2 linked regions of the Canis lupus familiaris genome follow. The protein of the gene in region 1 interacts with the protein of each later gene in a pairwise test. Links are inferred from orthologs where the notes say so. Each region holds a gene or a part of one and is shown in the gene's direction. Other genes may lie near its edges.

What was found.
Region 2: the proteins of NR4A1 (region 1) and PRDX4 interact in a two-hybrid assay, tested with the Homo sapiens proteins (2 studies listed by BioGRID and IntAct). The link is inferred for Canis lupus familiaris from reciprocal best matches to the Homo sapiens genes NR4A1 and PRDX4.

What each region holds. Positions count from the first base shown.
Region 1 is NC_049248.1:43,697,764-43,701,511, forward strand, and holds the start of NR4A1 (nuclear receptor subfamily 4 group A member 1), read left to right. Parts: upstream 1-951; 5' UTR 952-1,015; intron 1,016-3,748. UniProt on the Homo sapiens protein: Orphan nuclear receptor. Binds the NGFI-B response element (NBRE) 5'-AAAGGTCA-3'. Binds 9-cis-retinoic acid outside of its ligand-binding (NR LBD) domain.
Region 2 is NC_049260.1:19,457,596-19,461,243, forward strand, and holds part of PRDX4 (peroxiredoxin-4), read left to right. Parts: intron 1-2,352; coding exon 2,353-2,483; intron 2,484-3,102; coding exon 3,103-3,143; intron 3,144-3,623; coding exon 3,624-3,648. UniProt on the Homo sapiens protein: Thiol-specific peroxidase that catalyzes the reduction of hydrogen peroxide and organic hydroperoxides to water and alcohols, respectively.

The sequences.
Region 1 (3,748 bases):
TCTCCACAGGTGGTCAGGGGAGGGCGTGAGAAGATCCCCTAGAGATGCAGTGAGAGGCCCTGGGGGGGGGGGGCAGCGTGTGCCACCACCTCGCCGTGTGACCTTGAGCAAGTGCCATCATTTCCGAGCTTGTTTATTTATAAAATGGGGAAAAAGAGTCGGCACAAATTTGACCAGATTTCTCAGGCCCCGCCCGGTTCTGAAATTCGGTCATTTCCCAGCTGCAGCGCACCCACCCTGGAAGGGACTGGGAAGCGATCAGGGCCAGCGCGTGGAGCGGGGCCCACCGGCCAACGCCTGCCCTCGGAAGGTGCCCTGCGTGGGAGAGTAGGGGGCGGAGGCAAGCGGGGGGAGGGGGGCTCGAGGCTCAGACGACCCGGTGACCCTGCTGCTGGGGAGTAAGTGGCCGCGCTGCGCCGCGGGCTGGAGGGGCGCAGGCTGCGGGGGGGGGCGGGGTGCGCCCCGAGGTGCGCCCCAGGCCTCCGGGGAGGCTGCGCGGCTGCGAAGGCGGAGCAGCGGGCGCTGCAGGGAGCTCAGCCCGGGGAAGCCCCGCGGCCGCGGCTCTAGAGCGCCCCCTCCTCGGGGTGGCGCGGCCCGGGGCGCGCGGGGCGGGGGGAGCCTCGGGAGTCCGCGAGCTGCTATTTTTAGCGGGCGCGGCGGGCGCGCGGGGACTATTTATAGATCAAACAATCCGCGCTCCCTGCGTCAATGGAACCCCGCGTGCGTCACGCGCGCAGACATTCCAGCCTCTCGCCCCGCCCCCCGGGCTCCCCGGCCCGCGCCTCCCCCCGCCGCCTCCCGCCGGAACCGCGCCGCCCCCCGCGCCCTTGTATGGCCACAGCTCGCCGGGCCGCGTGCGTCAGTGGCGCCCCCGCCCCTCGCCGTGCGTCACGGAGCGCTTAAGAGGAGGGTCGGGCTGCGCCGGGGAGCCCCAGCGGCACAGGCTGCGGAGCCCGGAGCGCGCGGCCGGGAGCGCACACGCGGGACGGACGGGCGGGCGGAGCGGAGCCGCCGGGTAGGTGCCCCGCGGGGAGCGTGCGCCCCAGCCCCGGCTTTCGGGGTGTTGCATGGGGGAGACGGCCGTCCGCGCGGGCAGAAAGGATGTTGTGGGGTCGGCGTGCAGGGGCGCGGGCGCTGGGTGCAGCCCGGGCGTCGGGGGGAGCGCTTGCAGCGGGGGCACGACCCGGGCCGCACTCCAGCCCCCGGGCGCCCGAGAGGTGCAAGGTGGAAGCCAGGTGGAAGCCGCGGGGGGGGGGTGGGGTGGAGTTGGAGTTGGCACCGGGAGTGGGGACTTGCTGGGGACGAGGCTGCCTGTGGTTCAGCGCCCCCCCCCCCACTTGGGTGCCCGAGTGGCCCAGGGCGCCCCGGACCGAGGTGCTGATGGGCTCTCGGTACAGTGGGGCGGGGTGTGTGTGTGTGTGTATGGGGGGGAAGATCCCCAGAACTTGAGTTGCAAGGATCCGCGGGACTCCTGCCAGCTCTGGGTTTCCAAAAGGGTCTCCTTCCTCCCCGGCTGGTCGGCCTCCTCCCCCACCCCTCGTTCCTTTAGTTGTTTTCTTAACACGTTAGAGGCTGTGGCTTAGTTTGCAGGGATCCCCGAAGTTGGTGCCTGAGCGGTGTTAGGAGACTTCTGGATTGCTGGAGGAAGTGGCCAGCATGGGGGGCTTGGCTGAGCTGTGGAGGGGGGCTGCTGGTGTTCCACTCAGTCTTCTTAGAGGCAGGGTCTGGGAAGCACCGGGAAGATTGGTTAAGAGGTGTCTTGGATCCTGTGGGGCGTGGGGGCGGGTGCGGACAGAGGAGAGAGAGAGAGAGGTGTGGAAATCTTGGTCCTTGGGGATCCCGAGTGAGAATTGCTCATGTTGGAGTCCCTGGTGTAGTACCTGAAGGACACCCCCCACAGCCCCACAGCCCGGTCACACCCGTGCCCCCCTCCCCCCAGTCCCCGTTGGATCCTACAGGTAGGGTGCAGCCCGCAGCTTGTTCAGCATAACAGGTGCAAACCACATTGTTGCCAGGACCTGCCTGAAGCCGGATCCTCCCTGTTCCCTCCTCCAGCCCCGCCTCTTCCTCCTCCCTGGGGGACTGCTTCTCCCCCACCCCCTTGACGCTGGATGCAGGTCCATATCTGCTGTAGTTAAGTACCTGCGCCGAGGGGGGTGGAGGGGGAGGACAGGTTGGTGGGGGTTGATCCGGATGTGGGATGTCCAAGTGGAGAAACAGGATTTGAATAAGGCTGGAACACCCAGCCTTATTCCAGGTGGCTGCTACCTCTTCTCCACCCCAAACCCATCCCTGCCCCGGCTGTCCTAGCGCTGGAAGACGTGGCCACTCTTATCTCTTGCAGGTGCCGCGTATGCCTGCGGGCGGGCGGGTGGGCACTACCGGGTGGCTGGTGCAGAGCTTGAGGGGCTGTGTGGCCCCCGGCCGGTTGTGGCAGTGTCAGGCCAGGGGTGCGTCGCCCGTGGAGGTGGGAGAGGGCTGGACCCAGAGGACGTTCCCCCCCTCGCCCCCCCCCTCCCCGGGCTCTTGGCCAGGAGGTGGTGCCAGCCTTTGCCCCCTCTCTCTGTTCCCTTGATCGTGGCACTCTGTGTTCCAGCTTGCTTTCTTGCCCCGCCCCCCCCCCCCCCCCCCCCCCCCCCCCGGCCCTGGCTGGGAGGGCCAGAGCCGTGCAGACCCCAGGGGTGGACATGGGATGGGAACCCGTCCCGGGGCCGCCTCTGCGCTAGTTTGCCACGGGTCTGCAAACTTGAGGATCTCCTTCTAAGTGGTGCTGTCTCTGCCCCTTCAGGCCGCTCATGATTGAGGGTGTAACCAACCCTCTTTGCCTGAGCGCCTGGGTTATTCAGGGCCCAGAAACTCCTTCGTGGAGGGACCCAGGCGGGGGCAGGATGGCTTCCATCTGCCCACCTCCCGCCAACAGGCTCCTCCCTGTATGGCCACCTCGAGTCTGCTGGACTCAGAGTTCTCTTATAAAACTAACAAGAGGCAATGCTTTGGGGGTAGCAGAGAAATTCTTCTTAGGGACTGTCCATTCTCCTGGAAGTCTAGGGGGCCTGTTCTCTCCTCCTTCCTGCCCCTATTCGGCTTCCCTCCGGTGTACAGCCTTTAAAGGTCTGGAGCCCGGCTACTTGATCCCCTGGGGAACTGGGGATTGCTGAGGAGGGCCAGGGCTCCCTTCCTTTTTGCCTTTGGGAGCATCCCAGGCGGTGCCGAGTGGGTGCCCATCCCCAGATGGCAGGACTGGGGTGCGCGTGGGAGCTGCAGCCTTTGTTCAGTGTGTCGGGTGGGGGCAGGGATGGGGGACAGGCTCGGGGCTGCTTAGGCCTCTTGCTTAGCAGCTGGGCCTTCAGTCTCGACTCCTCTTCCATTTTCAGGATGTCCTTCCCAGGCACCGTGGGGGGAGGAGGAGAGGGGGCTTTGCAAAGGCTGGGCTGTGCCTGGGAATATTCCCAGAAGTGCCAGGTTGGAGAAATGACATACCTTCACCCAGAGAGTGGGCTAAGTAAGGCTTTGCCTGGCTGCCTCTCCCACCCACCCTTCTTCCAGCCCCTGCCCACGCCTTACCCGGTGCGGGAGGGCAGGGGGCTGAAGGAACACAGCTTCCCCCTGTTCCAGCAGAGAAATGCTGGCTAGATGCCTTCCCTAGGGTTCCCAGGCTGACCGGGGTGTGGCTGGCCTTCCAGCTGAGCCCACTCCTGCTGGGCCACTGCCCGGGGGCTTTGTGACATGAGGGTTGAGATGGCACTCC
Region 2 (3,648 bases), on another chromosome or scaffold:
CCATGAACTTAACCAAAGTTACATAATTAATGACAGAGCCTACACTTGAAGCCAGGTACCAAAACTCCTTGCCTGTTTCTTTCTCCTTTTCTCTAAAATGACTCCAGTAATGGTTTTTCTAAGTACAATTATTATATTATTTAGCAAACTTGTGCTGTGGGGAGTGGGAAAAATTAAGGAAGTGCCAATAGAAGTCTTTGAAAAAAGGATAACTTTAGCTTAAAACAATTGTAATTTTATTATATTATCAAAATGCAGTGCTAATAATTTCTTTTTTAATGTTTTATGTGAAACTACCAGTATTTTATAGGCCTATGTTTTTTAATAACAATTTTATTGAGATAATTTACATACAACTCACCCATTTAAAGCCTACAATTCAGGCAGCCCCAGTGGCACAGCGGTTTAGCGCCGCCTGCAGCCTAGGGCGTGATCCTGGAGACTCTGGATCAAGTCCCACATCAGGCTCCCTGCATGGTGCCTGCTTCTCCCTCTGCCTCTCTCTCTCTCTCTCTTTTTGTGTGTGTGTGTGTCTATGAATAAATAAATAAATAATCTTTTTTAAAAATAAATAAAAAATAAAGCCTACAATTCAGTGGTTTCTAGTACAGCTAGAGAGTTGTGCAATCATCACCACAATCAATTTTAAAACATTTTCATTACTCTAAAAAGAAACCCCATACCCATTAGCAGTTACTCTCCCTTTCCCCCAATCCCCCTGCCCTGGCCCTGGCCCACTACTTACCTCCTTTATGTCTCTATGGTTGCCGATTCTGGACATTTCATTTAAATGGAATCCTACAATATGTGCTTTTTTATGACCAGCCTCTTTTCACTTAGCATAATGTTTTCAAGGCTCATTCATATTTTATCATGTCACTACCAATAGTTTCTTTTTTTGTGCTTGCCAAGTCTTTAATGTCTAGTCTCTTTTCATAAAATTTATTACTAAGTTAATTCCCAAAGAGGAAGTATGCCACTAAAAAGACTGAAGCTATTTTAAAATTTCGAATTAGGGACGCCTGGGTGGCTCAGCAGTTGAACATCTGCCTTTGGCTCAGGGTATGATCCCAGAGTGCTGGGATTGAGTCCCACATCAGGCTTCCCTGCGTGGAGCCTGCTTCTCCCTCTGCCTATGTCTCTGCCCCCCCCCCATGTGTGTCTCATGAATAAATAAAATCTTTAAAAAATAGAATTAAAATGAACTTTCAAATTATCTGAACATTAACCAAGTAAAAACCATGTAACCCCGAGATCGTGACCTGAGCCGAAATCAAAAGTCAACTGCTTAACCGACTGAGCCACCCAGGTGCCCAAGGGTGTGTGTTGGTACGATGTATGTTACAGAAGTAAGTTCACAATTTCAAATCAGACTCACTTAACTTCGGAACAGACTTCATCAGCATTAACAACCATTTTCTACTGGTAAAAGTAGCTACATCAAAGAAAACCCATATGAGTAATAGTTTACAGTTTTGCCCAAGTTTGGCCAAGTTGACCTAGTCCAAGGAAAGTGAGCTCTAGTTAGTTCAGACATCATGGTGCTCATTAAAGAAATATTTTGTAGGATAAGCAAAAACACTTTATAATGTTTAATGTGATTATGAAACAAAATTTCATGTAATAGATTTGTAATTCCATGTATTTCTATTAAAAATAGATCTCATTATTATTTATAATTCTCATAAGCAATTAGCCCTAGTACCTGAGATCTTTTTCTAAACCAAGTGTTAGGTTGAAATCCATATTGACTGAAATAAAAACAGTAAAGTCCTTTGGTAGTTTTTGTTTTTTTCTGGTCTGCTTTAACTCTTGCCATGCTATCTCAGTATAGCAGCTCTTTTAAGTTAAACTGCTCCATTATTCCCTAGGCCATAGAGTAAATACACAGATTTAAAGAGAAAGGTAACTTCGCTTATATTGGTGACTTTGTCTTTTCCACCTCTGAAAAAGGAAATACAAAGATGTTCTAAATAGCCAGTGATAAGAAAGGTGGATCACTCCTTCACCCAAAGGTAGACTTTGCTATATAGATTCATCATTTCATTTACAGTGCATTAAAATCCCAAACCTAGTACTTGTGAAGAATTAAATGGAAATACAACAGTACATTTCATAGACAAAAACAAATTTTTAAAGCTACCATTTAACAATGATAATCCCAAGTTATACAGTAGGTAAGAGTGGGTTTGGGCAGGGGGTTGTATTTGCATGTGTGCACACCAAACAGGTAATGTGTTGTTGGTTCTGTATAACATCCTTCTGTGTGGATGGCACAGTGATTCAGATTAACTAATATTTGTCTTAATTGAGATGAAATGACCTCACCTGTACCACTCTTGTGTTTTACAGAGGTCTTTTCATTATTGATGACAAAGGAATCCTAAGACAGATTACTCTGAATGACCTCCCAGTTGGTAGATCAGTGGATGAAACACTGCGTTTGGTTCAAGCATTCCAGTATACTGACCGACATGGAGAAGGTACCCTTTCCTTCTGTCTTGGCCTTTTGATTTTTTCATTTGAGAAATGATAGCACGATTAATTTGGTTTCTTAGTCAAAAAGTAGTGTGGGAAAAAAACTAATGTGGATGATTTCAAAATCCTCTGATTATTTTCAAATTATTACCTGGTCTTTTTAGCAGATCCAAGTATTATTTAAAGTGCTTTAAACAAAATATCGATAATATATCCTGCTTACAGAATAAAATGTAAAAATACTCATTTTATACAGTCCATAGATAAAAGTTTCTTCTACTGTAATTTTTAATTATGTTCCTATAAACTTAAAATATGCCAGTCTGACAGTATTTCATAATGTAGGTTTTATTTGCATGTTTACATTTTTTAAAATTTTTTTTCATGTTTACATTTTTTGACTTAGCTTTTTCCCTCAAAGCTGTTTGGTTTCATACTAGTGATCAATTCATCCTTTCATTCCCAAGTTTTTGCAGTAGCTAAATGGAAAAGGTCAGATTTTGCTAAAATAGAACATATGTGATATATTCTTTTCAAAAGTGTAACTCAGGCCCTGAGTAAGGGTGCATTCTAAAGGGGAAATGCCATTTTCTTAGTAATTTTGAACTCTTAATTGACAAACAGCAAACTGTGGCATCAATACAAGATACTACAGAAAACAGAAGGTAAGTTTATATTGGAAGTTTGTATAAATTCAGAGATTTTTGCCTTGCCCCAATCTTTCAGTTCACCAGATTCCCAAATCTTCCAACTTTACTAGATTTTTGCCTTGCTCCAATCTTTCAGTTCACCAGATTCCCAAATATTCCAACTTAATAGAGAAACACTCAACGTGGTTTCTTATATTGTAAATGTAACTAGATATAATTTACTAGAGAAACACTCAACGGTTTCTTATATTGTAAATGTAACTAGATATAATTGGCAAAAAAAAATGGAAATAGATTAGCTGCCTGTTGATAAACTCTGTGACTGGAATTCCTTGGTGCAAGCAGGCAAGCAAACTAATCAAGTGTCCTGTGGCCTAGAAATGTTCTCATTATTATAGGCTCTCTTCAGTTTCATTTTGGAAAAAGAAAAGCCAAGAGTGGCTGAAGAGAATTGAACATGTTCTTAAACTTTTTGCCAATTTTTGTTCCTTTCAGTCTGCCCTGCTGGTTGGAAACCTGG